Linked DNA regions of Mus musculus: regions 1, 2, 4, 5 and 6 are each reported to be linked to region 3. The links are microRNA targets in miRTarBase. Many come from high-throughput screens and were not tested one by one. Region 3 holds a microRNA gene; each other region holds the end of a gene's coding sequence.

Region 1 (5,078 bases), not on the chromosome of region 3:
CCATTCAGTTCTACCTCATACGCAATCTCTATTCCTGAAAAAGAACAGCCATTAAAGGGGGAAATTGAGAGTTACCTGATGGAGCTACAAGGTGGTGCACCATCTTCATCCCAGGATTCTCCAGCATCGTCATCTAAGCTAGGGTTAGAGCCTCAGAGTGGGTCGCCAGATGATGGTGCTGGGGACCTCTCCCTGTCAAAGAGCTCTATCTCTATCAGTGACCCCCTCAGCACACCAGCATTGGATTTCTCTCAGTTGTTCAATTTCATACCATTGAATGGTCCCCCTTATAACCCACTTTCAGTGGGAAGCCTTGGGATGAGCTATTCCCAGGAGGAAGCACACTCTTCTGTCTCTCAGCTGCCCACACAAACACAGGATCTTCAGGACCCTGCAAACACTGTGGGTCTAAGTTCTCTGCACTCACTGTCGGCAGCGTTCACCAGCAGCCTGAGCTCAAGCACTACCTTGCCCCGTTTCCACCAGGCGTTTCAGTAGAGTCTGGGCCGAGGGACTCACCCGAGGTGCTTGTGTAGCCCTGCCTGCAATGACCATTTATATTCTAGTGCCTACTTTTAACATAATACAAAAACTTCTGCTTTTGTATAATATCAGGTTTTATGAAGCCAGTAAATAATAGGAACTAGCCTCTTCGATAAGCTTTGAAATCGTTCGTGTTTAACTACGTTTGCTATTTCTCCTGATTTCCTGCCAGTTGTCATAGTCTCAGAGTTTAATTTCATATAGGAGCGCCATTATTATCACTAAATTTTACAAGTCCTATGTTCAAATTACTGTTAGATCTTAAATTTTTCATTTTTGTCTAATAGCAATGGGCATTGGACTTTTTTTTTTTTTGCAAATATTCAGTACAGTGTAAATCTTATGAAGTGTGTTGTGTGAATAACTGAAGTGTTTCACATTTTTTTACTAGCCACTAAATGGATTCATAATTAAGTGTGTTTTAAATGAGTTAAGAATCCAGTTTGGGGAGAGTATAGTGGTTTCTTAAATATACCATCATTTCAGATCAATATATTTTGAGGACTGCTATTGTCTGGCTAAAATATTTTAAGTTTCAGTATCTATCTAAAAGAAACCTAGAGAGGTAGCAGGGTGTTGTGTGTTAGTACTAGCCCTCAGGCTGGTTTGCCGCATTTCAATCATCTTTCCATAAACAGTGTGTGGCATCGAAGTCATCAGGATCAGTGTAGAAAGGTTTTGTTATATGCCTGTCACCTTTCATACCCCAGGATGGCTTCAGTATACCAGCGTTCTCATTTTGCATGGTGGACCACAGTTATTCCAGAGTCTTAGAGCCATTGTGGGACAATAGACAGTAAATATGTGAAACCTACAATGGCTGGGCTGCCTCAATCGTCGGGGTGATAGACTCCTCAACAGGAAGATGGATGTAAAACAGCCAAACCCCAGAACTTGTCCAGAGAATTCCACTGTTGCCAGAGCTGAAAACTGAACTCCTTGGGTGCAGAGTAAAAGCCTATCACATCACTTCTAAAGCAGTCTTGCCCGGTGAGCTCTTGCTCAGTGCGTATCCATCTTGCCCTGCTGTTTTTGGATGGAGAACTTAACAATTAGACCCATCAGAAAGCAACTTGAGGAGTTCTACAGTTTTACACAACCAGAAGTTGTAAGACCCTACTTTTACTCTGGGAATCAGGAGGAATGTTAGAAACAAGTTGAATCTATAGTGGAAACAGAGGAAAATAAAGCAAACACCAAACGCATATGAGTGCACCTAGGATGTGGAATGCACTGAGTGAGGTAGCGATGGACTTCCTCTTGTCAGACAGCCACCAGGAATGCGATCGATGGTTCCATGTATATCTTCCTAAGGGTTATTTGTGGCATCAACTTATGAAATGTATCTATTAAGCACTTGTTAACACCTTATTTTGGGACCCCTTCTGTTGGGGCAGGGGTGAAGGGAGGTTTATAGAAGGCTATGTATCTCTTTTTTAAAAGAAAGAAGAAGAAGAAACTATATTTTAATTTCTGAGCACTCATTAGCCCTGTATGGGGAAACTCTTTCCCTTCTGTAAGGGCCAGTTATCACTGCATATTGCATTGTTTACCCATCATCCTAAATGTAATTACAGATTACTGACGATAATGCATTATTTACAATGCCTGGGAATAGTCTAAATTGAGGAGAAGTGTAAACTGTCATTTGAATGGGGCTTTCACTCTATGTCATACACACACCTAGTGCACTTCGTAGAATCAGAGTTGCTCTCTAGAGGGTTCAAGCTCCTGGTTCTAACCCTAGAGCAGTAGTTTTTATACTTATGTATTTAAATTTTATTGTGAAAAATACATTTTATTAAAAAGTTTTCCAAAGGCATTAAAATTATATATGTTAATAAGGAAATACATGTTTAACTCTTCAAGCTGCTCCTAAGCTATGAGTGGGAGTGCACTCACTCTGAAAGTGGGCTCTTAGCTCTGCTTCATGACCGCTTCCTTAGTTTCTATGAAACAGATCACTTACCTAATGTTCTAGTTGGATGGTTAGTGTTCAATATTGCTTTAATCACCACTTAAAAAGGAGGGGACATTTGGTGACAGAGCACAAGTAAATAAAAAAACCTATTTTTATGTAGAGTTCACAAGCACCACATATGAAAGCACTAGTTTATTCTATCTAAAATTTGCTTAAGAAGTCACATTAATGACCTGAGACGTTGGCCTTCATAGGCTGTATGTATTTCACTGCTAATTGAAAAAAGGGAGTACCAGGATATATGAAATAAAGCATTTTGAAATGGGAATGGCGCCATATATGTGTGTGTGTATATATATATATATATATATATACACATATATATGTGTATGTATATGTATATATATGTGTGTATATGTGTGTGTGTATATATATATATATAACAAATATATTTTTATCCTAACTCTTACCCTGCACGGAACTCTAGTACACATCTTCCAGGGAACCAGTGTTAAAATGTAGAGTCTTAATTTTCTTGTATGTACACCTCTTTGCCTGTTGCTGCCCCCGCAGACTTGAATAACACTTCAAAGTAAGAGGGAAAGAAGCAAATTTGTTTTTTGTTTTTGTTTTATTGACTACAGTGGTCACTAAACCCTTTTTTGATAGATTTTCTATTAAAAATCAGGCAGCTTTTTTAATTGCACAATATTTTAACAAGGACGTAACACAGAATTGGCTCCACTCCTCCCGTAGAAAATTCTGTCACTTGTTTTATTTGAAGTAGGACTGCTTAGCGATAGGCCTTGCCAATACCCTTTTCATTCTCCATGGTCCTTGGAATTTCTGATAGTGCCTTAGCATGGCTGAAAGAAAAGGGATTAACATTAACTGATACAGTTTATTGTGGCATTTGGACCTCAGGCGAGATGCTGAGCCCCATTCAGTTTGACTTCCACATGTGCATGCAAACGGCATGCATCTGCGGGAGCGTGAGTGCGGAAAGGCCTGGCACTCTAAGCAATATAATCCATTGATATTTACCAATATCACCTTTGTAGTTATTGTCTCATAAGCTTTCATTTAAAACCCTATTACTTGTTCAGTTTTCTATAATTTAAGTTGCCTTGGTGGGTCTTGCACCCGTCTGTGTGCAGCTTTTTTTAATTTCAATCAGCATTTCTTTAAAGCTGTGTGGTTTTTTGCCTATTTGTTGCTTGTGCTTTATTTTTCTAGTCATTTGTGGAATATAGTGATATAGTGTGTTAATTTGGACAGTGGCGGTTTTTTAAAACCATATACTGACTGAACCATGAGCCAGAGCTGATTGCTTTATTAAGCTAATAATGAATGTTATAGAGTACATATTTCAGGATCATTCATCTAGTGAGCAGTACACATATAGGCCAATTAAAAAATAGAGCTTGGTCAACCTCTATACTTCACATACTACAAGATATAGCACTTTCAAAATGAACCTAAATTTCTACAGAAACTTTCCTCTATGTTACGCCTTTTATTTTTAAGACTTATTATATTCATTTCAAGTGCCATTAGATGATATATATGTAGGCCTTTGATATATAATACTTTGTGTACAAAAAAATGGTAGATGATATTTTAAACAGGTACATTTTTACAGTGTTTTCTTACCGATTTGCTATATTGCACAGAATCAGTGTGTGTCTTTTCATAAGGTTTTACAATGGGTTATTTTTTTACAAGGTTTACGTATCTCAAAGCACACTGTCTTCCCAGTCCATAAGTAAGTTTAAAAATACCAGTTCACCCAAGTTGCTTCTAGCCTACTGAGATCCTTGTGACATTGAAGGAGATCTTTTCAATGTTGAGTATTCACCCTTAATGAAGGCAGACTGTTTTTTTCTGACAAATGAGTTTCTTGGTGAGTTTGTCTCATTTTATTCATGCTGTCAGCAGCCAGGTCTACAATACAATGTAGCTCGATTTTTGTAGACCTACATAAATACCTAAATTGTGTTGTACTCACAGAGCACTCCTTTGAGATTATGCAAGATAATGTCTTCGTAGCAGACACAGATCACCAATAAGCCTTTCTACAATGTTAGCAGCCCCTGGGGATGGAAGGCAGTGTCTTTTGATGAGTTATCGATCTCTAAAGATGGCGAGGAATTGTTACTGATGTATAAGACATTTCATTACATAAGCTTCAGTGGTACAGATGAACCAGAATGAATGTCTGTCTTCTCAGAAATCCTCCTTCAACATTATATGGGATCATGCTGCTACTGTCACTTGGGATACAACTCTTCATGGTGCTACAAACTTCTGTCTCATTCAGTTGTATTTTTTATTCATAGGAAAAGGACTATATATAGGTGTAAAGGTGTACAATATATTTTTATACTGTGACTTTAAATTGTCATTAGCAAACTTTTACACCACCACAGTGTATTCATGTGCGCTTGCAAAAGGAGATCTTGGATGTGCAAATGTTACCAGAACAAACCCAGCTTTTGTCCACAAAGTGACTGTAACTCAGAATGGAAAGTGGGCTTGACATAGGGTGTGGAGTGAAGAACATGCTGTGAGTTACTAACAGCCCTTTGAATTTAACAAAAACTGGGAATCCATT
Region 2 (5,078 bases), not on the chromosome of region 3:
CCCCCCCCCCCCCCCCCCGCACAACACAAACTGCAAACTACAGCCCCAACAAAATGTCTGATAGCTCTAGCTCTCTCTCTCCCTCTCTCTGATATATCTGATATACTAATTATTCAAAAAGTTATCAAATAGACATACCGTAGTGTACATTCTCAGATAAGAGTCTGTTGAAGGCTTGGCTGTCTGCTGTCATATAAATGAGGATCATGGATGTCTGAGAGAAAACTATCATTTAGGATTGCTTCCATTTCAAATCCGGCACCTTGATTTTTCGGAAGAAGCCATGAAAGCACTTCAGAAAGCGCTTCAGTCATCTCTTGTGTGAGATGATGTCCTAGCACTCACTTGGGCACAGGCCTGGACCTATGATGCAGCATAGGTTCTGCTCATTAGTGATGGAGGGGCATGACGCTTCCTCATGGGGAGTTGTGATAAAGGGCTGGGGCCAGTCACTGAGCAGAGAGGACAAGAGTCTGGGACGGTCTAGGTCTGGCTCTCCCAGATAGGCCAGACTTGGCTTCACAGTGAAGTCCTTCATGTTGATACCCCTCTCAAAGGGGCGAGGGAAGAGGGAGAAGGTAAAGAAAGAAGAGTGGGTAGGATTTAAATTAGACTACCCAAACTGCTAAGTAAGACAGAATACTTCCTCACAGGTTCCAGGTTTCTGAATAGGGGTAATGGGGGCCCATACCCAATAGTAACTGGCGAACTATGATCTAAAATACTGGCTCCTGTTGAATTTTTCTGCATCTTAGACAAATTTAAATCAGTTTTTGATATTTTCTCTTCCTGTTAACATCTCTTGTCTTCAGCTTCTCCTTTGCTGTATGCAACCCCTTCTGAGGTCCTCACCATCTACTCTAAACACTGTCTCTGGGGGGCGTGGGACATTCAGGGACTTGTGTCTTGCCTTCCCTGCACAGAGACTACATGGCCCAAGCTACATAGTGACAGGACCATGAAGCGCTACACGTTACTTCGGTCGACGCCAGTCAGGACAGTTAAGGCTAAAAGCCTTTGTCACTGTAACTTGAAAGGGAAGAAAATCAAGCAGATAGAGCTGTAAGGCAGGACATAGCTGGGTCCCGGGTCACTGGTTATGGGACCTGCCTGGCTTCCACCGTGCTCCCTTAGCTGTAAAAGGAAATCTGTGGTTTAAGGTACTAGGATGTTTTGGTTACTCCAGTCTGGTCTGGGATAGCCGAATAAACACTTCCCGTCGCATCAGGAGAGCCCTCAGTGCTGCTGAGGTCAGAGCACTGTACAGCACAGCAGCCCCCTGTGGTCTACACTGGGTGAACCTGAAAGTGGTTCAGAGAGGGTAATCAGGACTTCAGGCAAAAAGGCTCCAAGATCAGTTTCTACATATATAGGGAGAGGGGCTCATTTTCTAGGATGGTTTTGAAAATTAGTCACATAGTCTCAGAGGTTAGGCCACATGATCAATTCCCTTTCAAAACACCTACTTGAGTCATTTTTAGCAATCTGTTGGAAAATAAGTATGGATAACAAGATGAAAATTATGCGACTGTGTGTTGTGTGAAGTCAGCTGAGAAGGGACGCCTTCTGAGAACTTCCAGAGAGGTTTTCCCTGCTTGGAGAGCATCGTATCTGTCCAGACAGTGCCACACTGTGCTCGAGAGAGGCTCTCAGGGAGTCTCACCCCAGGTTCACACAAAAGGCAGCCGAACTGCATGGCTCCAAGGAAAGGCAACCGAGCAAGGCAGGCATCACTGGTCTGTCCCGAGGATGTGCCTCTCCCCTCTGAGCTCACAATCCTTGCCAGCAGACACAACCCTCTGCCACTTGCTGTCCCTCTGCTCTGTCCAGCTGATTCAGAGAAGGCCTCTGAATGCTGGCAAACCTGGAGCCCGGAACCCACCCGATTAACACTCCAAATACAAGCCCTTTGGGTCTGGCAGCACATGCCAACCAAGTCCCAAACCAGTTTATTAGTTTAACCAAAAGGTAAACAGATGCTGTAGATGCGGAAAGACAAGCGTGCGAGCAGCTGGAAACAAAGTCCAGCTGTTTACCTGGAAGCAAAATTAAAACAACTGAAGTGGCATTAAATAAATGAGGCCATGTTTTACCCACTTGGGATTTCCATTGTCTTTTTTTTAAAAAGGTAAATATATATATATATATATTTTACATTGCAGTATATAAATCTAGGCTCTACATATACAGTATAATTACACAGGGTGAGCACATGGTCATAACATGTATGTCTTGTGTGCCACACCCTAAACCAGGCCAATAGCTCTGCACTGACTTTTTGACCTTGACACTGAGAAAGCCAGGCTGAGGCTAGGGTTACCTCAGTCTTCCTGATGGCTGTAATCCTTACCATCTCCCTACCACACACAGAAACATTAACCAAAAAAGGCTCACAAACAAAAGAAGAGAGTGCCTTCGGATGATTAGTCGAAAGCTAACTGGTCTTCCAGTCCAGTCTCCTAGAAACAGCAGGGTACATCTGGTGTCAGAATGTACAAGACAAGGGAATCTGATGACTTCCTGGCTCTCTCTTTGGTCCACTGCCACAAATCTCTGAGCTTTTCCTGGTGTTTCTTGTTGAGTTCGTATGGCTATTTACATAACACAAACCCTACATAACCTTTGAGAGCTAAAGTATAGGGTTAGAAAAAAAAAGTCCCTGTTACAATCTGGATATCGTATTCTGGGTTCATTCTCTTTATTTTTGGAATAAAAACTGGTATTTGGAGAAAAAAATTAAAAAGGAACAATAATTTGAAAGTGCTTCTTATACATGTCAGCTCCTTCATGTATGGCTTTTCCATTCAGATCCCAGCATAGCGCAGATCGGAAGCACAGAATGAAACTGTTATTACAGACAAAACCCATCACTTACCAGCGCCACCAGGAGAGTAAGTGAGAGGTGAGAAAGAAGAGCGCGACTCTTCCCTTCTATAAGGGTGCACTGCTGTGAGAAAGGACAGAGACGGCAGTCGCAGTCTCCTTTCTCTCCCTGTGACCTGAACACAGGAATGCTACTAAAGTAAAGAAGGAAACAGGAGCCGCGGTTAGTCAGTGGGAGACAGTTTCTGAGGGGTTGACGGGGGGGGGGGGGGGGGGTTGCTGCTCAGAAATCTTTCACAGGCTTGAAATGATTGCATGGAGTTGACTGCAGCAGAAATGTCTACACCTGAGGAAGAACTGCTCATAAGACAGAGGCCCACAGCTAAAGATGGCAAACGACCGGATGTACACTGCTACATGCAAAGGCAATCAGAGGGTGGTGGAGTGGTCCAAGACAGAGGAGAGTCCAGAGGAGTTGCTGTGCTTCTGCGCTTTCTTCTCTGGCTGAAAAGTTATGGAAGACCGAGGCTACCTGTGTGGTAATGATTGTGGTGCGTTCCTCAGGAGAGAATGCAGAAACACAACAGGGTTTCCAGGAATTGAAACAAGCTTGTGTTGACCCCAGGGGCATTGTGACGGGGACCAGCAAGGCACACAGGCCTCAGATGCTCCAGCAGACTCCAGCAGGGGGCAGAGACCACTGACCCATCCGAACCTTTCCATGGTGGCCTTTCATGCAGCCTATGGCCATGTCAATCTCTGCTGTTTGGTCATCTGGTGGCACATGACTGAGAAAGGAATTCTCTCCCTTTACAAAAATAAGAGCCTGGGCTTGTAATACTGGCATGAAGAACACTCCGCATTGGTAGTTCTAATTCTATTTACTTGGAAGTATGAGACCAGGTTCTTGGTCCCTTCTGTTTCCCTGTAAAAAGTGACCTCAACTTCCCAGGCCATTGTGCAAATTGGTTTTTCCATAGTCCAGAATATCCTGTATAGTCCCTCTGGTATATCTACATACACACACACACACACACACACACACACACACACACAAACACACGCATACACACACGATATGCGTGTGTATATATATTTTAAAATATGGACTATTTTGTATTCACTCTCAGATCTAAGAGCATCAGTGAACCTTTTATCCTTTTAATGTCAAATTCACTTCCACTCTCCCCTGCACAGTGCTCTCTGCACAGCTGAATTCTATAAATATCTGTCGCTTTCACCAATGATGCTCAACACTGGGTGGTGGTTGGCGTCGCCATGGCTTTTGCTCAGCCTCACTCTGCCTTGGGCAGTAGGAGTGTACTGTCCCTTTCAGAGGGTGATCTTGCTGTGCCTGTTACTCCAGCAGCCCCGCTTAGCTGTCCTGGGCAAAGTCAGGCTGGTCCGACTGCGCAACTTCACCTGCTCCTCCACCGAGTTCTTTTTGCGTAAAATGAAATCAAAGTTCACTTGGCTATTCATGGCGTAAAAGACGTTTGCAGAGTCCGGGATCACTAGTTCTAGGAAAGAGAAGGAAACAGCAGCTGGTCAGTGGGGGTTGGGGGAACCCATCCCTGACTGGCAGAAGCCAATTCTGCCCAGGCACAAGGCCTGGGTAGAGTCTCTGTTTCTTGCCTATAACCTAGACCAAGCAATGTGGATACTTCCTCATAATTGGTCCCAAAAAACTTACTCCCTATCTGAAACTGAGCACAAGGTGTCAGAATTCCTCCCATGAGCGTACTGCTCAAATACAGAACGTTAGAACTTGAAGAAGGTACAGGGGTAGGGACACCAAATACAGGACGGTCCCAGGACCACAGAGCTGGAATGAGAACCCCTGCTAGCCTGCTGTACTCCCACAGCCTAAGGGTGTCCAAGCACGTGTACAAGACCTACAGCAATTGTCAGGCATCTTTACTTGGATTAAATTAAGGTACTTTTGACATAATTCCAAATCAATCTGGTCATTTATTCTTTTTGAGTCACCGTTTTGTCCAGCATTTGCCTTTCAACACTAAACCACATCCACATAAGACAATGCATGCCACTAATTTTTAAGTCATATTCAAATCCAGTGATGCCCACCTGAACACTCATAGTTTATAAACAAGGGTTGTTATTACCAGTGAAGTAATAAATTCTGTCAATGAAAAGTTGTTTTATTCTGTTTTGAAAACCATAGAATAAAATGGGCAGATGTGGACATTGGGTTTTGTGGAAGTGAGGTCAGAAAAGAAAATGGCAGGGTTGCA
Region 3 (5,078 bases):
GCATAAGCTCTAAATCTCTGAGTCACATAACATTCAAAAAAATATATGAGTGACATTCGTGTATGTGCATGAGTATATATGCATATTCATGTATAAAAGTGAATATGCACACAACTATACTCACATGCACATATTTGGAGGACATCACACGAATCGCATGCTGATCTCTAACTCAATGTGAGTTAAACATGAATTTGAACTCGTCATCCTCCTGACTCTGGCAAGAGTGCTCACCTCCTAACTGAGACATAGCTCTGGCCATTCCTATGAATGTGTGTGCATGCGTGTATATGCATATTCATATACAGAAGTGAATATGCACACAACTATACACACTTGCACATTTTTGGTGGGCATAAGATGAATCCCATGCTAATCATGAACTCATCATGAAATTCAGCACGAATTTGAACTCCTGATCCAACTGACACTGTCAAGGGATTTCACCTGCTGAGTGAGACCTCTCCCCATTCAGTACTGAGGAATCTTAAAACTCTAAATCACATATCATTCAAATGGATCGATGAGTTGCACTGATGTTTGTGTGTGTGTTTCTGTTTGTGTCTGTGTACATGTATATATTTGTGTAGATAGGTACATCCATATACTCAAATCCACACACAATAGAAACAGATACAGATAGAGATACATAGGGGGCATCACATGAATCCCAGGCATATCTCTAAGTCATCATGAAGTAAAGCATGAATTAGAACTCCTGATCCACAATCTTTCACACCTGGTGAGTAAAACCATTCACTGTCCCACTACTGCATAATCTTGAAAACTTTAAGTCACACATCATTCAAACGTATAAATGAATGCAATTTTTTCCTGTGTGTGTGTGTGCTTGCATATACACGTGTGTTTATGTTATATATAGCATGTCAACAGAGATAATGCACATACAAGTAAACACACATGCACATTCATGGGAGGCATCACATGAATACCAGGATGATCTCTAACTGAATTAAGCATGAATTTGCAATCTTTATCCTCCTGACTTTGTCAATCTTTTACACCTGGTGAGTGAGGACATTCAATGTCCCCTATTGCATAATCGCTAAAACTCTACATCACTTATCATTCAAAGGGATTGGCGAATGCCATTCCTGTATCTGTGTATGTGTGCTTGCGTTTATACGTGTGTGTGTATGTTATGTATATTCAAATATAGACATGAACATGCACACACAACTATACACACATGCACATACATGGAGGAATCACAGGCTGATCTCTCATGAGGATAAGTATGAATTTGAACTCCTGATACTCTTAACTCTAGCAAGCATTTTCACTCTAAGTCACTTATCACTCAAATGGATTGATGAGTGCCATTCCCATGTGTCTGTGTGCTCATATGTGTCTTATGTGTGCGTGTATGTATTTGTATATCATATTCACACATGTACATGTACACACACATCAACACATATACACATACACAGGGGCAATCACATGAATGCCAGGATGACCTCTAACTCATCATGCCTTTACTATGAACTTGCACTCCTGATCTTCCCGACTCTACCAAGGGTTTTCCCGTGGTTTGTGAGACCTCACCCTGGCCCAGTCATACATAACCTCCAAAGCAGTAGGTCACATATCATTCAAATGGATCCGTGAAGGCCATTTCCGCATGTCTGTGTGCATGTGTGTGTAGGTGTGTGTATGTATATGCATAAAATATACACGCATATACATGCAGGCACTTACGCACACGGGCACATACATAGGGGCCATCACATTATTCCAGGATGATCTCTAACTGCTCATGAAGTTAAGCATGAAATTGAACTCCTGATCCTCCTGACACTGCCAATTATTTACACCTGGTGAGTGAGACCTTCACTGTCCCTCTACTTTATAATCAGCAAAATTCTAAGACATATATCATTCAAATGGATCAATGAGTGTCATTCTTATGTGTGTGAGTGTGCACGCCTGTGTGTGTGAATACATTTGTATGTGTGTGTATTTATATGTATGATCATATACACACATGTACGTGCACACACAATTATATGCACTTGTGCATACCTAGGATCCATCACACAAATACAGGGTGATCTCTAACTCATTATGAAGTTAAGCATGAATTTGAACTCCTGAGACTCCTAACTCTGGCAAGTGGTTTTCATCTGATAAGTGAGATTATTCCCTATACCATGAATATACACTCAATGAAATTATAAGCACGTATAAATCAAATGGATGACTGCCATGTGTGTATGTGTGCACATGTATGTGTCCCTAGTTGTGTGGGTGTGTATATATATATATATATATATATATATATATATATATATATATGCATGCTCATATACGCGCATGTACAGGCACACTTCCTTTTACACATAAACACATACACAGGGAAAAATCACATGAATTCTGGACTGATCTCTAACTCACCATAAAGATGAACATGAATTTGAACTACTCATCCTCATGATGCTGGCAAGAGTATTCACCTCCTAACTGAGTCAAAGATCTGGCCATTAGTGTGAGTATGTTTGCATGTGAGTATATGCATATTCATGTAGAGAAGTGAATATGTACACAACTATACACACATGCACATTCTTCGTGGGCATCACATGAATCGCATGCTGAACACTAACACATCAAGAAGTTAAACATGAATTTGAACTCCTCATCCTCCTAGCTCTGGCAAGCATACTCACCGCCTAACTGAGACATAGCTCTGGCCATTCCTATGAATGTGTTTGCATGCGTGTATATGCATATTCATATAGAGAAGTGAATATGCACACAACTATACACACATGCACATTTTTGGTGGGCATAAGATGAATCCCATGCTGATCATGAACTCATCATGAAATTCAGCACGAATTTGAACTCCTTATCCACCTGACTCTGTCAAGGGACTTCACCTGCTGAGTGAGACCTCTCCCCATTCAGTACTGAGGAATCTTAAAACTCTAAGTCACACGTCATTCAAATGGATCGATGAGTTGCACTGATGTTTGTGTGTGTGTTTCTGTTTGTGTCTCTGTACATGTACTTATTTGTGTAGATAGGTACATCCATATACTCAAATCCACACACAATAAAAACAGATAGAATAGAGATACATAGGGGACATCACATGAATCCCAGGCATATCTCTAAGTCATCATGAAGTAAAGCATGAATTAGAACTCCTGATCCACAATCTTTCACACCTGGTGAGTAAAACCATTCACTGTCCCACTACTGCATAATATTTAAAACTTTAAGTCACATATCATTCAAATGTATAAATGAATGCAATTTTTTTCCTGTGTGTGTGCTTGCATATACATGTGTGTTTATGTTATGTATATCATGTCAACACATACAATGAACATACAAGTAAGCACACATACATATACATGGGTTGCATAACATTAATACCAAGATGTCTCCAAATGAAGTTAAGCATGAATTTGCAATCTTTATCCTCCTGACTTTGTCAATCTTTTACACCTGGTGAGTGAGGACATTCAATGTCCCCTATGGCATAATCGCTAAAACTCTACATCACTTATCATTCAAAGGGATTGGCGAATGCCATTCCTGTGTCTGTGTATGTGTGCTTGCGTTTATACGTGTGTGTGTATGTTATGTATATTCAAATATAGACATGAACATGCACACACAACTATACACACATGCACATACATGGTGGAATCACAGGCTGATCTCTCATGAGGATAAGTATGAATTTGAACTCCTGATACTCTTAACTCTAGCAAGCATTTTCACTCTAAGTCACTTATCACTCAAATGGATTGATGAGTGCCATTCCCATGTGTCTGTGTGCTCATATGTGTCTTATGTGTGCGTGTATGTATATGTATATCATATTCACACATGTACATGTACACACACATCAACACATACACACATACATAGGGGCAATCACATGAATGCCAGGATGACTCTAACTCATCATGCCTTTACCATGAACTTGCACTCCTGATCTTCCCGACTCTACCAAGGGTTTTCCCGTGGTTTGTGAGACCTCACCCTGGCCCAGTCATACATAACCTCCAAAGCAGTAGGTCACATTTCATTCAAATGGATCCGTGAGGGCCATTCCCGCATGTCTGTGTGCATGTGTGTGTAGGTGTGTGTATGTATATGCATAAAATATACACGCATATACATGCAGGCACTTACGCACACAGGCACATACATAGGGGCCATCACATTAGTCCAGGATGATCTCTAACTGCTCATGAAGTTAAGCATGAAATTGAACTCCTGATCTTCCTGACACTGCCAATTGTTTACACCTGGTGAGAGAGAATATTCACTGTCCCTCTACTTTATAATCAGCAAAATTCTAAGACATATATCATTCAAATGGATCAATGAGTGTCATTCTTATGTGTGTGAGTGTGCATGCCTGTGTGTGTGTGAATACATTTGTATGTGTGTGTATTTATAGGGATGATCATATACACACATGTACGTGCACACACAATTATATGCACATGTACACACCTAGGGTCCATGACGCAAATCCAGGGTGATCTCTAACTCTACATGAAGTTAAGCATGAATTTGACACGAGAAGACTCCTAACTCTGGTAAGCGGTTTTCATGTGATAAGTTGGATGTTTCCATATACCATGAATATACACTCAATGAAACTCTAAGCACGTATAAATCAAATGGCTGACTGACATGTGTGTTTGTGTGCACATGTATGTGTCCCTCGGTGTGTGTGTGTGTGTGTGTGTGTGTGTGTATGCATGTTCATATACACACATGTACAGGCACACTTCCCTATACACATACACACATACACAGGGAAAATCACATGAATTCTGGACTGATCTCTAACTCATCATAAAGTTTAAATGAATTTGAACTGCTCATCCTCATGATGCTGGCAAGAGTATTCACCTCCTAACTGAGACAAAGATCTGGCCGTTAGTGAGAGTATGTTTGCATGTGAGTATATGCATATTCATATACAAAAGTGAATATGTACACAAGAATAAACACATGCACATTCTTGGTGGGCATCACATGAATGGCATATTGAACTCTAACTCATCATGAAGTTAATCATGAAT
Region 4 (5,078 bases), not on the chromosome of region 3:
AGCGCCAAGCCCCTCAGAAACATCCCCAGGCAGAAACCTGAAGAAAACAAGGTCAGCAGCCCCAACTCTCCTGACCCCGAGAGTCCCAAGGAAGAGCCCAAGGCTCCTCAGGCTACGGGTGTCTCTCGAGCCCTTCCCCCCATCCCAAGTTTTGCTCGAAATACGGTGGCCTCGTCATCTCGGAGCCTGCGAACGGATGCTCCACCCGCGGCCAGAACCACTGGCCTCACCAGGACAGTCTCCCAGCGGCAGCTTAGGGTCAAAGGTGGCTCCGAGGATTCTGCCTCCAAGGACATTGGCACTTTGAAGAGGGCCAGCAGTGCTCGGGCCTCCAAGAAGTGTCCTGAATCTGCTGGGGGTTCAAGTGCCAATGTAGAAACCTCACTGAAGGGCAGAGGGACGACGGAAAGATCCTCTCTCAGACTGAAGGACTCGGGGCAGGCCACCCTCGGGAGGATCCTCCGTCCCCTGCAGAAATGATGACGCCTGTCTGCATTTCTGCCTTGTGGGATGTTAGCTGCTGGGACTGGCTGCTGCGGGGGGAGGACACAGAGGCCAGTCTTAAACATCTTGTTACACATCGAGCAACACACTGGTGCCACCTGCTTAAAGGTCACGTCACTAAAGGTACAAGGAGAGCTATAGCCTGCTGTGCAGACTTCTGCTTCGAAATCAAAGCTGAGAGTATCCTTATTCTGCACAGTACTTTGTCAGGGGCTGGCACCTCCTGTCACTCATACTCAGGACCCTATCCCTAACTCCTGCCCCGAGACAAAGATCCAATAATAGTCTGGACATGTAAGATGACAATTCTTATGTAACAAGTAAAAAAAAAAAAATTCTGGCCAGTTTTTATATATCAAAGACTTATTTTTTAATATTATAAAAATAAAAAAGATGTTTTAGTTCCTTTTTCAGAGTGAAATGCCTCCCAGGAATGGGGGGATTATCCTTAATATGAAACTGTTTGTACCTTCATCCCCACCCCCTGCCTCGGGGTTCCATCAGCGTGTATGTGGGAGAACACACACCATACCTAGCCAGGGGTGGCCTCTCACAAGCTCTTGGGTGGTTGTACGGTTGAGGCTGTCTCCTTGAGAACTTTCTGGCTAGCTAATGTGTGGGTTCTCCTCAAATGACTCTGGGTGAGGATTTCATGTGAATAGGAGGGACGTCAGATTTGTATGGGTAAAAATCTGATGTTACTGTGAGTTTAAGGGGGCCCCAAGGGTGTGAGGCCCATGGCGGGGAGCCCATGGCTATAGGGAAGTTTTCCCTGAAGATAGGAGCAACTGTGTAGGGTGCTGGATAGGGTGCTTGGTGTAGAAGACAGCAAGGGCTGCCCAGCTGAGTAGGTCCTTCCCATGTGTGCAATGGTGGCCACTCGCTTCTGTTAGCTCCGGGTGGAGAGGGAAATGACCCTTTTTGTGGGTCAGGCTTCCTTCTCTTCTGGGGCCTCAGTACCCCACCCCCACCTGCTATTCTATTTGATTTTGCTTTTAGAGACATTGTGAGACCTAGTCTAGGCTGGCCTCTTACTTGCAATCCTCTGCCTCAGCTTCTGAGTGCTAGGATAACAGGTACAAGGCACCAGGCCCAGCCTAGGGATACTGCTTGGTGTCAGCCTGTCTTCCTTGGTACAGCGCTTCTCAAGTCCAACTGAGAGAAGCCCAGTCATGGTTGTTTATTTTAAATAGACTCTTACCCCCCAAGAAACACTGACTTCTGACTTCAGGAATCTTAACACTGGGGAAATCTGTGCAGGAGATAGGCATCGTGCAAACAGAAGTTCTTACCCAATGCTCTTTTTACTACTTCTCTATTAAACCCAGGAAATAGAGAAGAAAGTGGGGGGGGAAGCTTGAAATAAAAGCCCTGCCCCCTTCTTTCTGAGTCACTTCTTAGTGAAATCTCACTTTAGATCAGACACTGGTGACTGGGTGGGCTAGGTCAGCGTGTCACACTGTGAGGTGACTGCGGAGGCTGCTATGGTCTCTCCTTTCGGGAAGCCTCTCCATCTTTGCCTGGGAACTGAGCTGCTGTCCCTGAGCTGCAGCAGTTGAACAGTACAGTGGCAGAGATAGGCTGCAGTCACCACCTCTTGTTAAAAACAGCCCTGAGCAGCGATGTCTGGGCAGCTAGGAAGCCCTCAGCAATCTGTCCCCCTCTGGAACCCTCCAGAACCAGAAGGCCTGTGGGTGGGTGGGAACGGATGAGAGACGACACGTGCTGACAGGTTTGTGGATGGTGAATTGAGTAGCCCCGTGGGAGGGCCCAGGGACCCATCCTGTGCCGTATTCCAACACCGCTTTCGTTCGGTACAAGCGTCTACTCTCCCTAAGTGTCTGTCTCCCAGCCCATAGAAGTGAGTCCAGCCCTTCATGATGGTTTCCAGGAATCGAGCTACCCAGTCACCCTGTGTCTGTTTCTGACGTGGCTTCTAGGACCCTCAGCAGAGGCTGGGGAGCCTCCGGAGAAGCCTGTTGGTATGGTGCTGTCAGATCACATTGGCTGCGTGCTTGGGAAAGCAGTGGTGTCGCCGGCCCTGTGCACACGTGGGTGGGCAGGTGGGCAGTCTCTTACTACCTTTTATACACTGTAAGTTTGGGAGAATCATCTATGCAACAGAGGAATGTCAATGCCTTTCTACATGCGTTTGTTGAGGATGCGCTGAATGCATTTTAAGGTCCTTTTCTACGTACTTTATGGAACAGGTAGTCTTAATAAAGTTGTTTGTAGGAGTTATACCTATGCTATGCCTTTGCACATGTGTCTTAGTTGTCCTGCCAGGAGAGTCTTTAATCTCTTTCCCTGAAAGAAGGTGAGGTGTGGGAAGAAAGGGGGAGGGTATGGAAAACTTGTCCTCCAAAGGTTCGAGAGTCAGAATAAATTTCTATTGGCATTGGTTCCATACAACACACACAGGACCAAGGGCTCGGGAGTGGGCTTTGCTGCAGGCCTGTAGGGATGCAGGTTTATCTCACAAGCCATTGCCGGAACACTTGATGCTCCTTGGAGCTCTTGTTCCAGGTACAGCCAGGCTTTGAGTGATCTCCATGGGGCCCGGCAAGTCCAGATCTGTCCCCATGTGTCCTCTTTGAATTGGGACACTCACTGAGAAATCGCAGATTATGTCTGTGTCTGGTTCAGGAATGAGCAGAGGGAGGGAGGTGTTGAACTTGAAATGCGCAGTGGGTGCATATTTGAAAATGAGAGCATTGTGGGTAGGTGGGTGGCACCTCATACCTCAGGCTCGCATCACATCATAGTCCTAGCTGCTCTGTCTGAGAGCAGCCTAGAGGAAAGTCCCCAAGCATCCACATCCAAGACTCCGAACAGCCATGTGTTCAGGTGAGAAATCCTGGAGTACTTCAGTAGAACTATTAGTGCCTGTTCTGCAGTGTACAAATTCACCTGCTTTCAAAGGTGCAGTGTCCTTGCCCTGGGTCTGCCCCTCTGGCAAGGACTCCATTTTGTAAACTTAGAAAATTTGCTATTAAACATTATTCTTAGTCTTTTATGCTTTTACTTGTGTTCAATTCCTGCTTGAAACTATGAGTTTTTGTTTTGGTTCCTCCCCCTCCCCCTTCCCCCCTCCCCCTCCCCCTTCCCCCTCCTCTTTCTTCTTCTTCTTCTTCTTCTTCTTCTTCTTCTTCTTCTTCTTCTTCTTCTTCTTCTTCTTCTTCTTCTTCTTCTTCTTCTTCTTCTTCTTTTCTTCTTTTTCTTCTTCTTCTTTCTTTTCCTCCTCCTCTTCCCCTCCCCCTCTCCCTCCTCTTCCTCCTCCTCCTTCTTTTCTCCTTCCTCCCCTTCCTTTTTCCTGTAAGTGTTCATAAACATAAGTACTAAACATAATAAAATTTTAGTAAGGGACGTGCTTCCAGTCATTCAGCAAGTGTTTCTTAAAATAATGTGGACTAGAGGCTCTGCAGACACCGTACTTGGCATCCACGGGATAAGAATGTGTAGGTCAGACTGGCTACATGGCACAACTGAGCACATAACCCCGAGTAGCTTTTCCTGGGGGCTTCTCCATCTCCATTTTCCAGTTAGCATATGCCAAGCCTCACTCAGCTGCCTCAGTGAAGATGAGAGTAGCCAACAATGGCTTTTTTGTCTTCCAGTTCAGAGCTTTTGAGTTTCTGTTTGAAAGCTGACTGTGCCCAAAGTTCATTCTGCCCTTCGAAGCCAGTCTGTCCATACATGGACCCATGGCTGTGACATCAAGGAGCCTGGCATTTGTGGCCACCATCTTGTGGGGTGAAGGTGAAAGACCTTGCAATGAGGAAGTCTGAAGTCCCCAATGTTGGATTCATGGGAGCTTGGAATCTGCTCCTAGGCTTTGCCTCTGGCAGCCTCAGGCTCTTCCAAGGATCACATCATGCAGACAGTGTTCAACCTGCAAGGCAGATGCTGTTCTTGAAGTTTATCTGGGTTTTAGTTGAGGAATTGGGACTGCGCTTCCCTCAGTAATCATAGCTCACCCCAGAAGTAGTTTTCACAGAAACTCTGCTATATATACAGTCCGAATGCTTGCATCAGCCGTCTGCCTCCACACACTCCATCTGATGGAGGCTAAAGCCAAGTTGGAGGTGGTATTAGGAGCTGGGGCCTCTGGGAAATGCTTAGTGTGAGGGTAGAACTTTTGAGAATAGGGTTAGTGCACTTACAAAAGAGCCTTCCACCATGAGGGGACCCAGTGAGAAGGCACCGTCACGAACCAGGAAGCAGCATCTCCTGTTTTGACCTTGGACTTTGTAGCCTCTAGAACGATGGGAAATCAATTCCCTATTTTGGGGTAACTTTTCTTGGTGTGTGGGAATTTGTTATGGCAACCTGCATGGACTATGACACCATCTGTAAGAGGGCTGTGGCTATGATATTGTCACAAAAAAGGAACTCCACTTATAGCAGCATTTCTAGAGCAAAGTGCAGCATTCCATGTCAGGAGCACGTGTCAGGGGCATCAAGAGCATTTTCGCCCTATTTCCTAACAGCAGTTGAGGCTAAGGCATGTGACCTGAGGGAACAAGTAACCAGTGATCTAACTTCTCCACTCAAAGTCAGCCCCTCCGGACAAA
Region 5 (5,078 bases), not on the chromosome of region 3:
AAACTTGTACATTATAATATAGTGAACTTCACAGATTTTGTGATTAATACCATTTTGCTCCCCTATTATTTTTAGTTTAAAAGTCTATTCTGTATTAAAATCAATATAATGTCTGTTTTCTGATAGTTCATGTGTGGTTCTAGAAAGGGTTGAAGAGTAATTCATGTTCTGTATGTGGGAGACTGGTTGAAATAATTCTTTTCTAGATTTTTGATATAGTTAAAGGTTTCTTCTCTAGTAAAACCCATAAATTGTTATAAAATCCTGTTCAAACAAGTCAGATTTATATGGAATGCATAACTAAGCTGGAATGTTGGTGCATACCTGCAATCCAGTATTCTCAGAAAAGAACCGAGAGGAGGAGGCAAGAAGAACTGGACATAGTTAAGGGTGTTTGTTTCTTTGGTCAGGAATGAGAATGTGCTTTTTTGATACAATCTTTTTTATATTTTTAAAATATTTTTCCTAAAATAGGGTGATGGATTAGAGTTCAAGAGACACTTCCTGAAGATTAAAGGGAAGCTCAGCGATGTTGTGAGCAGCCAGAAGGTTTGGTTTCCTGTTACATGAGGAAGCTGTCAGCTCTGCACATTCCTGGTGAATAGAGTGCTGCTATGTGACATTTTTCTTCCTAGAGAAGATTATCCTATTCTGCAAACTGCAAACAATAGTTGTTGAAGAGTTCTCTTCCCATTACCCAAACATCTTCCGATTTGTAGTGTTTGGCATACAAATACTACTGTATTTTAATTGTATGTAATGCTTTGGGGAAAGGATGGATCAAATTCATTAGGTATTTCTCCAGCTGTCTTTAAATTGTCTGGATTTGAAACCAAGTTATGGGATACTTGAGTTTGCCAGCTTTTATACCCATGTAGTAGTATCACTTTTGAAAAATCAAAAGCTTGTTTCATCCCAAGCAAAATATTTTCTTCTCTGCCTATTTAATTGTAAGGATGAATAAACACAGACCATATACAGTTGATTGGTTCATGAATGAGGCCAGCCACAAAAATGTGTATGTTAATGTATGTACTGTATTTTCAGTTTGGGTATATGTGCTGCACAAGGGCTTGACCAATTATAAAACTTTTTTGAGTTAAAGTGTTTTAAATTGCAAATTTTCCTCCTGGCGTAGCTTGTCAAATATAAAGACTAATTTGGTTGGATTTTCACAAAGTTGAACATAAACTCTAGTGCTTAAGTGACATTACTCTAAAAATTACACACTTAAACAATTTTTTCTAGATTCACAGCCATATTTTAATTACTCTAGAAATAAACTATTTTCAAAATCAATATCTAACTCTGAACTTATTGGCCAGCCACCAAGTTTCTAGATGACACTGACTGAAAAGGGGCGGGAGTAAGGAAATGCAGGAGTTGACCGGATCCTTGTTCCTCACCTTGTACACTCACTTAAACTTTGTTTTGTTCATAAAATTTATATTAAAATATGAATATATGATTGGGGTCCTGTATTCCTTTTCATAGATAAATTCCAACATTAGTTAGTCTGAAAGCTGAGAACATTTAAAATTTTATGGCTCAAGTTTATTTCATGTTGGTATATGCTGTTGTCACCCACTTAACTCTCCCATCCCCAAAAGTTAACTTGAACCTAACTCTATTCAGTCTCCTGTTTCCCACTTGTAGTCCCACTGTGGTAAAAGTCAGCCATCTTGTTAAAAACGTTACTTATTCGAACCCCAAGTCCCATCTGCGCTGTACTGTTTTATGTCATTGTCTTCTTCATCTGATGGTATGCAGTACTGTCTTCCGAGCCTGTATCTCTCAAGTCATGATTGCTTTCCGCCATTACTTGGCACCTACTCAACTATATTGCTTTGGTCTCCATGATTTTGAATATTCTTGTACTTCATATAAGTAGAATTGTATATTTGCCTCTTAGTGTTTGGGTTACTTCATAACAACTCTTTTCAGGATTTATCTATGTTATAACATATCAGGTTTCATTCCTTTTGGTGACTAATACTCCATATTATGTATGTCTGTGCGTGTGTGTGTGTGTGTGTGTGTGTGTGTGTGTGTGTATGTATACTCTTTCATATGATCATGCATATTTGGATTGTTGCCACCTTTTGTCCATGTAATTGATACTGGTGTGAACATGAATATATAAGTACCTGCTCAAGTATGTTTTTAATTTTTTGTGTATAGACCCTGAGGTAGAATTGCTATGTCATATGATAATTGTGTGTTGTTTATTTTTTTCCGCTTATAAAATACAACAATTTATTTAAAATTTGTAACAACTGTTTTTTGAAACAGGACCTCACTGTGTAGATCAGACTGGCCTTTGGCCTGTGAACTCATTGTCCAGCCCAGGCTGTTTCTTTTTTTCCTGACTCTGTCTCCCAAATACTGTGATTACATAGCATGCCTGGCCCAACTTGACTTTGACAGGACAGCTATATTTACAGCTATGTTGTCTTTCCTGTGTAATTTTATTAACACCAAAAGCTATATCTTTAAATGTTGTACGCACACTACAGTAAATATGGGTTTTATTTATTTTTTTATTTTGAATCAAGTTTTCATGTAGTCTAGGCTGGCCTTTAACTTGCTATCCATGAGTGGATAGCTTTAAATTCCTCATCTTTCTGCCTCTACCTCCTAAGTGCTGGGATTACAGATGGCGTGACAGCTCATCTACATCTTCTCCATCCTTGGGTTTTACATAATTGTTCTTATATTTGTTGTTGCTGGGGATCCAATCTAGGATCACATTCAAGTCTTGCAAACACTTTTACTGAGCCAGATCCTTTTTTTTTTTTAAAGCAAGTTTGACAATTCTTTTTTTTTAAAAATTAATTTATTTATTATATGTGTGTACACTGTAGCTATCTTCAGACACTCCAGAAGAGGGCATTAGATTTTTGTTACGGATGGTTGTGAGCCACCATGTGGTTGCTGGGATTTGAACTCAGGACCTTTGGAAGAGCAGTCGGTGCTCTTAACCACTGAACCATCTCACCAGCCCCACTGAGCCAGATCCTTAAGCTGGGATTTTTAGTTATGCCTTTTCAGAGGTATTTGTATTGTGGTTTTTTACTGCTCTCTAGCATCTTTTCATCTAAAGTTCAAGGGCAATCTGTAGGCACAATTTTTTTGCAGCCTATTGTAATAAGGGTTCAACCTCTCTTCTTGCCCACCACCTGCTAGAGGTAGCAGAAAAGAAAAGTTATTAGAGATGGGGGAAGTAGACCTGTTTAGCAATAATTTTTAGCCCTTTAGGGGTGAGCTTGATCTTCTTTGTCCCCCGTTCAGTCCCATAGCAAACACCAAACAGAAATCAGCAACTACCGTCCGGTCCTCTTGGCAGGCAGATAACAATCTGTAGTTCAGTCCTGAGGAAACCACAAGGCTTGCCAACTGGTCCGAGGCTATGGAAGCAGCAAGAATTAGAGCAGTTCTTTGGTGAGCCTCTTCCAATGGCAGCATTACCACAAGTGGAGCTCAACAACAATATGTAGGGCCAACTAATACATGTGTGTCATTAGTGAAGAGTAGCTAGGCAGAGCAAGCCAAACCAACGCTCTTGCTCTCATTGTGTGCGGGATCATATTTATACTCCTTCATCATGTGTCCTTTCACCTGTGTCTGCTTCATGAAAACATTCTTTCACATGCCTGCTTTAGCGAGATATTCTTTTATCTGTGTGCCCCAGCAAAAAATCATTTGTCATAACTGACTTTCCGAAGAAACTTAGAAATTTCCACTTTAGCAATCTTAATCATTTCTTACATAGCAGTAGTAGTTATAATCAGTTCCTTTAGCCCACTGTCTGTGAATCTTAATTTTGCCTTTATTTCTATGGGATAATTCTGTTTCACCAGACACTGAATTTTTAGTTGATAGTGTTTGGACATTTTTTTTTTCCTTTCATTAATGTATATATCACCTCACTGCCTTTGGGCCTACAAAGGTTCTGCTGAGAAATTAACTGTTTTTATGAGACAGTGGCACTAAGTAGCCCAGGGTAACCTGGGCCTCACTGATAGACCAGGCCTACATTAAACCTGCAACTCTTCTGCCTCAGCTTCCCAATGACAGGGTTACCAATGTGTACTACTGCACCCAGCTAACTGATAATCATATTTAGGATCCTTTCTCTTCAGTGAATTGCTTTGATGCCTTCAAGAGTCCTTTTTCACCTTTAGTTTTTGATAGTGTTGTGACAGTATGTATGTCTCAGTCTTAACCATCCTGAGAGCTCATTGTATTCCCTGTGTTTGCAGATCCATGCCTGTCTTCTGATTTGGAAGCATTTCAGTCAACTAGTCTCTGTCCATCCCTTAGTCACTTGTGAGGTAGTACTGACTGTGTGATAGTGTTGTTTAAGTCCCAACTTAAATTGCTTATGTCAGGCTTCCCTTCCTCCTTATTCAATTTTAAGCCTTCGGAGTTGGTGATAATCCGTGGTAGGAATGTGTGTCAGTGCTAAAACATCTGACAGTGCTGTATGGTTGAACCGAAATCAGAGTTGCGGATTCTTGGTTTAAACCTGCTGTTAAATTCTCCAGCACCAACACTGCTTGTTTACATATTGGTTTCCTGATTGCTCTCACATCAAAACCTGTTGTTCTCTGAACACACTTGAGACCCTCCATTTAAAGTGTTTCTGTGGGGAGTGTTCAGTACAGTTTTCTTTCTTTGCATGTCTTCCAATCGTTTTGTTGAAAGCTTGGCACTTGAGGCCTGGAGATAGGGCTCGGTGGTTCAGAACTCTGGCTGCTCTCACAGAGCATGCAAACCCCCAGCACCCACACTGGGCAGCTCACAGCTCACCTATAAATAGCTCCATGGGATCCAAAACACTCTTCTGGATTCTGGCCACTTGTACATCCATACATACCTAGACATATTTTTACAAAAAACAAAAACAAAAAATAAGTCCTTAAAAATAGTTTTTCCTTGAAAAACAAACACAACTCTTAAACTTGCTTTGCGCACATCATAACAGCAAGGTATGTTTTGAGCCTTGGGATCAAGCTGATGTGAAGGGTTAGTGTCTTCTCGTCCTTCTTGCCTTCACATTCCTTTTCTCAGTTCCT
Region 6 (5,071 bases), not on the chromosome of region 3:
ACAGAGGAATGGATACAAAAAATGTGGTACATTTACACAATGGAGTACTACTCAGCTATTAAAAAGAATGAATTTATGAAATTCCTAGGCAAATGGATGGACCTGGAGGGCATCATCCTGAGTGAGGTAACACAATCACAAAAGAACTCAAATGATATGTACTCACTGATAAGTGGATATTAGCCCAGAAACTTAGTATACCTGAGATATAAGATACAATTAGCAATTTTTTTAATGGTTCCCTTGAAATTTTGAATCATTTCAAATGAATATGTATCTATTAAGTTCCTCAAAAATATGGGATAGGATATTGAAATGTTTAAATTTTAATCACAGGTATCCATATATGAGTTTTCCATCTCAAGATTTCAGTTAACTCAGAAATATTTCTGTTCACAAGTCAGTGTCTAAGGGTATGAAGCACACAGAACAAGTCCTTTGTAGATGCTGAGGCAACATCATGTGGCAGAAGGGTAGGCGTGGCCTCCTACTTTTCTCAATAGAAGGATGACAGGCCATCCCAAAATACAAAATATCCACAGAGCTTTGGAGAAGTTCTACCCAGCAGCTGATGCAGACACCAACAGCCAAACAGTGGGTGGAGCTTGGGGACTCATGGAAGGATAGGAGGAAGGATTGTAAGCCCCAAAGGGGATAGGAACTCCACAAGAAAACATCAGAGTCAACCAACCTGGACCCTTGAGGAGAGAGAATTGACAATCAAATAACATACACAGGCTGTACCTATGCCTTCTGGTCCATATGTAGCAGATATGCAGCTTGGTTTTCATGTGGTTCTCAAACAACTGGAGTGGGGGATATCCGAAAACCCATTGCCTATATATGTAGGATATGTTCTTCTAGCTTGGCTCCCTTGTCTGGCCTCAGTGGGAAATAATACTTCTAGCCTCATGATGACTTGGTGTGTCAAGGTAGGTTGGTAGGTAGGTAGCTACATAGATAGATAGATAGATAGATAGATAGATAGATAGATAGATAGATAGATAGATAGATAGAAGATAGATAAATAATAGATTGATGTTAGACAGACAGAAATATAGACAGACAGCCAGAGACATGATAAAAAATAATACCCAAAGAAAATGTGAGTGAAATAATGTTTTGTTTATTTTAAATAAATTGTAAACTATAGAAGGGCATTTTTAGAAATATTATTGAAGAGTTTACTTATCCAGATGTGTTTGAATTTGTAATACATCTCTGAAAATATCTTGGAAAATTAGGATTGTCAAGTAAAAAGAATGGATATTTTCTGTTCACCTCTTTTGCTGTATTTATTGTTATTGAAAGTAGGAGAAAAAGAAGCACAGCCCCTTTTAGTAGGTCTGTAGGTCATAAATTTTCAGTATTAACTTAATTGACATCTTTATATGAATTAGGCATTTATAATAAAATAATTATATGTTTGCTTGGAGTCTGTGTCTGTTATATGACAGATGTTTTTTATAATAATATATAAAAATATGCCAGAGTCCAAGACCCAATAGGAAATTCTGAAAGACACAATTGGGACGTCTAACTTATCATAATGTCATTAAATTCATATATTATTCTCATGACTGAATTGAAAATTTTCAGCTATGTTATTTCAATTAATGAAAACAGTAATGTTAATTTTCTACTCTGTCTGCCATAAAAAAAACAAAAATCAATAAAAACCTTGAAAAGTACTGCCATCAACATAACCCCAGCACTTTGTTGAAGATACAAATGGATCTTTTCTGTCTAACTGTCAAAACTATTTAGAACCATTTTTACATATGTACATATTTATAATAATGTAAGCTATAATGAGACACTCAAAGGGTGGGACAGAAGTATAGCTACTCATTTTAAAGATGTATTTTCTTTTCTCAATTAGTTGGGTCATGGGGTATGTGAACACACGTGTAATGCGATCTAAGGAGTCCTACAGAGAGTGTCAGAGCTCCTACAGCACATATCACAGGTAATTGTGAACTACTATGTGGGTGCTGGGAACTTGAAATCACGCCCTCTGCAAGAGAAATATGTGCTGTTATCCTCTGAGCTCTCTCTGCCACCCTAAACTGTTCTTAACGTCTGGGCAACATTCACAATGGAGAGCAGCTTACCATTTGCCTTCAAATGTCACACCACTTCACACTTCTGTACCCATCCTGAGCCTATTCACAAGAGCCTTTGTTGTACAGATTTGTTTAAGAAACCAGGGTATATTTTATTTCACTAGATGGGCAATATTCACACTCTAAAACTCGTTTGGATAATAAAGATGTTACTGAAAGGGAATTAACAAAATACATTTATTGGCTCGTGTAATACTTTTATTAAGGTTGATGGATTACTTTTGATTTTCGTGAGGAAGGTTTTAAGGTCAAGGTTGTCTTCAGAGCGAATTCTGTTAGTAGGATGAAGCTGTGACCCTGGTATGAGTACAAATCATGCAAAAACACACAGTGAAATCATACTTGAATAGAAAACGGGGCAGCTGAATGAGGCAAAGAACAGCGAGGTTTTTTTTTTTTTTTTTTTTTTTTTTTTGGTTGTTGTTGTTTTTGTTTTTTTTTTTTGTTTTTGTTTTTGTTTTTGTTTTTTTGCTGAGAGTTTGTTTCCAGAAGGTGCTCCTTTTATTGATGTTGTGAACAGACCTGGTTTGCACTCTACTCAAATACTGTACAAAACTGCAAGAAACGCCACGATTTGACTACTTAATTTCTACAAAAACATCATCGTGAGGTTGCGTTTTATTTTAAAAGTCAACTAATAACTGCTAATGTACACATCGGTCATAAGTAAATTTAGTTTTGACAGAAACACAGTTAACTTTAGCTTATTTCAGGGGCATATTTCAGGGGCATAAATAATATTTCATATATTAAAAGAAAAATGAATTTTTACCCATTAACAATCAGTAATTTTATAAAATTGAAAACCATGTTTTCTAATTTAGCTATGTGAGGTGTGTGTGTGTGTGTGTGTGTGTGTGTGTGTGTGTGTGTGTGTGTGTGTGTGTGTGTGTGTGTGACATAATCTACAATCTTTTGATAGTGTCCTAAAGTCATTGTTTAAAAATGTTCAACTCTTACCAAAACCTCTTCTGGTATACAAAGCTGCTGTAAATTCGAGTCAATGAAATTGAAAGTTCCAATTTACAAAAGCAGATTTACGTTAATTCTTGTCTGAAAAAAAAAAAAAAGCTGCTTTCCAGACAGAAAAATGTGCCAACTAACTGCCCTTTCCTTTAAAATTAGCGGCTTCTGAGCCCTGATGAGAAGCCTTAAGGCAGAATTTGCAGTAAACAGGAAAGAAGAGAATCGTATAAGTGCTCCTCTGTACCTGGGACACCTATGAATTCTCATTCTTGGAGTTTTTGGCACAGCTTTCTAATCTGATATAAGTGAACTTCACTGCACTCCATTTCAGCCAAGATGGCAGCTTTCTTCCTTTCTCCAGCACCAGAAAAGTTCAGCTGACAACACATACCTGGAAAGTCCATATATCATCATCATCATCATCTTCTTTTCTTCTTCTTCTTCTTCTTCTTCTTCTTCTTCTTCTTCTTCTTCTTCTTCTTCTTCTTCTTCTTCTTCTTCTTCTTCTTCTTCTTCTTCTTCTTCTTCTTCTTCTTCTTCTCCCTCTCCTCCTTCTCCTCCTTCTCCTCCTTCTCCTCCTTCTCCTCCTTCTTCTCCTCCTCCTCCTTCTTCTTCTTCTTCTTATCCTCCTCCTCCTCCTCCTCCTCTTCCTCCTCCTTCTTCTTCTTCTCCTTCTTCTTCTAAATTTTAGGTAGTTTCCAATGATTGAAGTGAGCTGAAAGGTTCATTACTACTTTCAAATAAACTCTGAAGCTAAAAATAGAATGACTGTGACATTCCAATAGTTATTAAATTTAAATGTAATTAACATCCTTTCATGGTGACTCATAGTTATTTGAGCTTGTCATGCTTGTAATATGTACATGGCTATAGATATGCTACATAGTAATTAAACACTGGTTTCACATCTCTAGCTTTCTCCTTGTGTGTGTCAAGCTTCCAATGACACTAGCAGGGGTTCTAAACACTCCTAAAGCAACCAGGCCAGAGGTTTGGCTGTTTCATATATTTGAGTGGCAATATTAATCTCTGATCATCCTTAGGCAACAGTAGAAATATTTTTCTATGTAATATCTAAATCAAAGGTTTCCCAAAGTGTGACATGGGATCCCGACTTTCATTATAATTAGAACATTAAGAAATAAATAATGGGATCTGAAACCCACTTTAAACTAGTTCCTAGGTAAATGTGTTAAAAAGGCAATGGCTCTTTTGGCACGGGATGTTTTCTGCCTGTATTTCCATGAGTTAGCAAATGCAGGTCTCCTTTAGAGGTCTACTGTAAGCTCTACCATTATATATATATACATACTATACATAGTGGGTCATAAATTAGCAGTTATTAGTCAGACTGTACAAAGCAAAAACCAAAACCAAAACCAAGTATAACATTGCTATACAGCCCAAAAGTAACCAAGTCTAGTTTCATGGACTGACCCCTAATACAGGCTCCCTGTTTAAATAGGTAGCCCAATAAACTAAATTAAAAGTACCAAACAGAACTGGGAACACTATTCTAGACATCCTGTCGATTTTGCTGACACTGTTGAAGGTTTTCTTGGCTTCAGCTGGCTTGTTCTCTGGCTTCTTGTTCGGTTCTGGCGTCGTTGCACTTTTGGAAATGGTAGAGAGGACAGGATCTTTGGAAAGATTCGGGGCATAGTTGGCAACAGCTACCGCATAGGCGTTGTTCTGTATCATGACGGAGCCTTTCTCTTTTTTCTAATGGAAAATACAAAAGTTGACACAATGTGGGTTTAGGCTGCATCTTAAAAATTTCCAAAATACAGTTCAAATTCTAGAAGAAATTATTACTCAAACATGCATCATTAGTAGTAGGCGAGAAAAATTAAGGAAGTAAGCAAAATAAGTTCAGTAAATTCTAAAAACCCCAAGTGAAGAAACTTACAGAGAACAATACCGGCGCTGTTTTAATAGAAAACTAATTGCTGTTTTTTACATAGAAGATGAACACTAGA

The links. Region 3 holds the annotated microRNA mmu-miR-466c-3p (AUACAUACACGCACACAUAAGA, at 1,372-1,393, opposite strand). A microRNA usually pairs through its seed, bases 2 to 8, with sites in the 3' UTR of a target mRNA and lowers its output. Matches are read on the target gene's strand: a 7mer-m8 pairs with bases 2 to 8, a 7mer-A1 pairs with bases 2 to 7 and ends in A, and an 8mer does both.
Region 1: the mRNA of Plag1 is a reported target of mmu-miR-466c-3p. Seed matches in the 3' UTR shown: 7mer-m8 at 2,722-2,728, 7mer-m8 at 2,852-2,858 and 7mer-m8 at 3,002-3,008.
Region 2: miRTarBase lists Rgl1 as a target of mmu-miR-466c-3p. Seed matches in the 3' UTR shown: 7mer-m8 at 3,838-3,844 and 7mer-A1 at 2,596-2,602.
Region 4: the mRNA of Fhdc1 is a reported target of mmu-miR-466c-3p. Seed matches in the 3' UTR shown: 7mer-A1 at 815-821.
Region 5: miRTarBase lists Chek1 as a target of mmu-miR-466c-3p. Seed matches in the 3' UTR shown: 8mer at 753-760, 7mer-m8 at 1,029-1,035 and 7mer-m8 at 2,053-2,059.
Region 6: miRTarBase lists Gabra2 as a target of mmu-miR-466c-3p. Seed matches in the 3' UTR shown: 7mer-m8 at 4,398-4,404 and 7mer-A1 at 1,776-1,782.

What each region holds. Positions count from the first base shown.
Region 1 is chr4:3,899,110-3,904,187 of GRCm38, reverse strand. It overlaps Plag1 (pleiomorphic adenoma gene 1), which reads left to right. Exons shown (of 6, transcript NM_019969.3): 6 at 1-3,030. The coding sequence ends at 498. Among named protein-coding and RNA genes, the nearest start is that of Mos, 30 kb to the right of the region's middle.
Region 2 is chr1:152,514,854-152,519,931 of GRCm38, forward strand. Rgl1 (ral guanine nucleotide dissociation stimulator,-like 1) reads right to left here. Exons shown (of 18, transcript NM_016846.4): 18 at 1,909-4,343. The coding sequence ends at 4,156. Among named protein-coding and RNA genes, the nearest start is that of Gm51749, 23 kb to the right of the region's middle.
Region 3 is chr2:10,499,930-10,505,007 of GRCm38, reverse strand. It overlaps Mir466b-3 (microRNA 466b-3), which reads right to left and starts at 1,443; the gene lies at 1,363-1,443. All of the region lies in intron 10 of Sfmbt2 (Scm-like with four mbt domains 2), which reads right to left. Mir669a-11 (microRNA 669a-11) reads right to left here and starts at 3,669; the gene lies at 3,583-3,669. Mir467a-10 (microRNA 467a-10) reads right to left here and starts at 1,735; the gene lies at 1,653-1,735. It also overlaps Mir669a-12.
Region 4 is chr3:84,439,869-84,444,946 of GRCm38, reverse strand. It overlaps Fhdc1 (FH2 domain containing 1), which reads left to right. Exons shown (of 12, transcript NM_001205355.1): 12 at 1-2,751. The coding sequence ends at 480. Among named protein-coding and RNA genes, the nearest start is that of Fhdc1, 37 kb to the left of the region's middle.
Region 5 is chr9:36,705,827-36,710,904 of GRCm38, reverse strand. It overlaps Chek1 (checkpoint kinase 1), which reads left to right. Exons shown (of 13, transcript NM_007691.5): 13 at 475-2,423. The coding sequence ends at 570. Among named protein-coding and RNA genes, the nearest start is that of Acrv1, 15 kb to the right of the region's middle.
Region 6 is chr5:70,957,285-70,962,355 of GRCm38, forward strand. It overlaps Gabra2 (gamma-aminobutyric acid (GABA) A receptor, subunit alpha 2), which reads right to left. Exons shown (of 10, transcript NM_008066.4): 10 at 1,108-4,814. The coding sequence ends at 4,518. Among named protein-coding and RNA genes, the nearest start is that of Gabrg1, 120 kb to the left of the region's middle.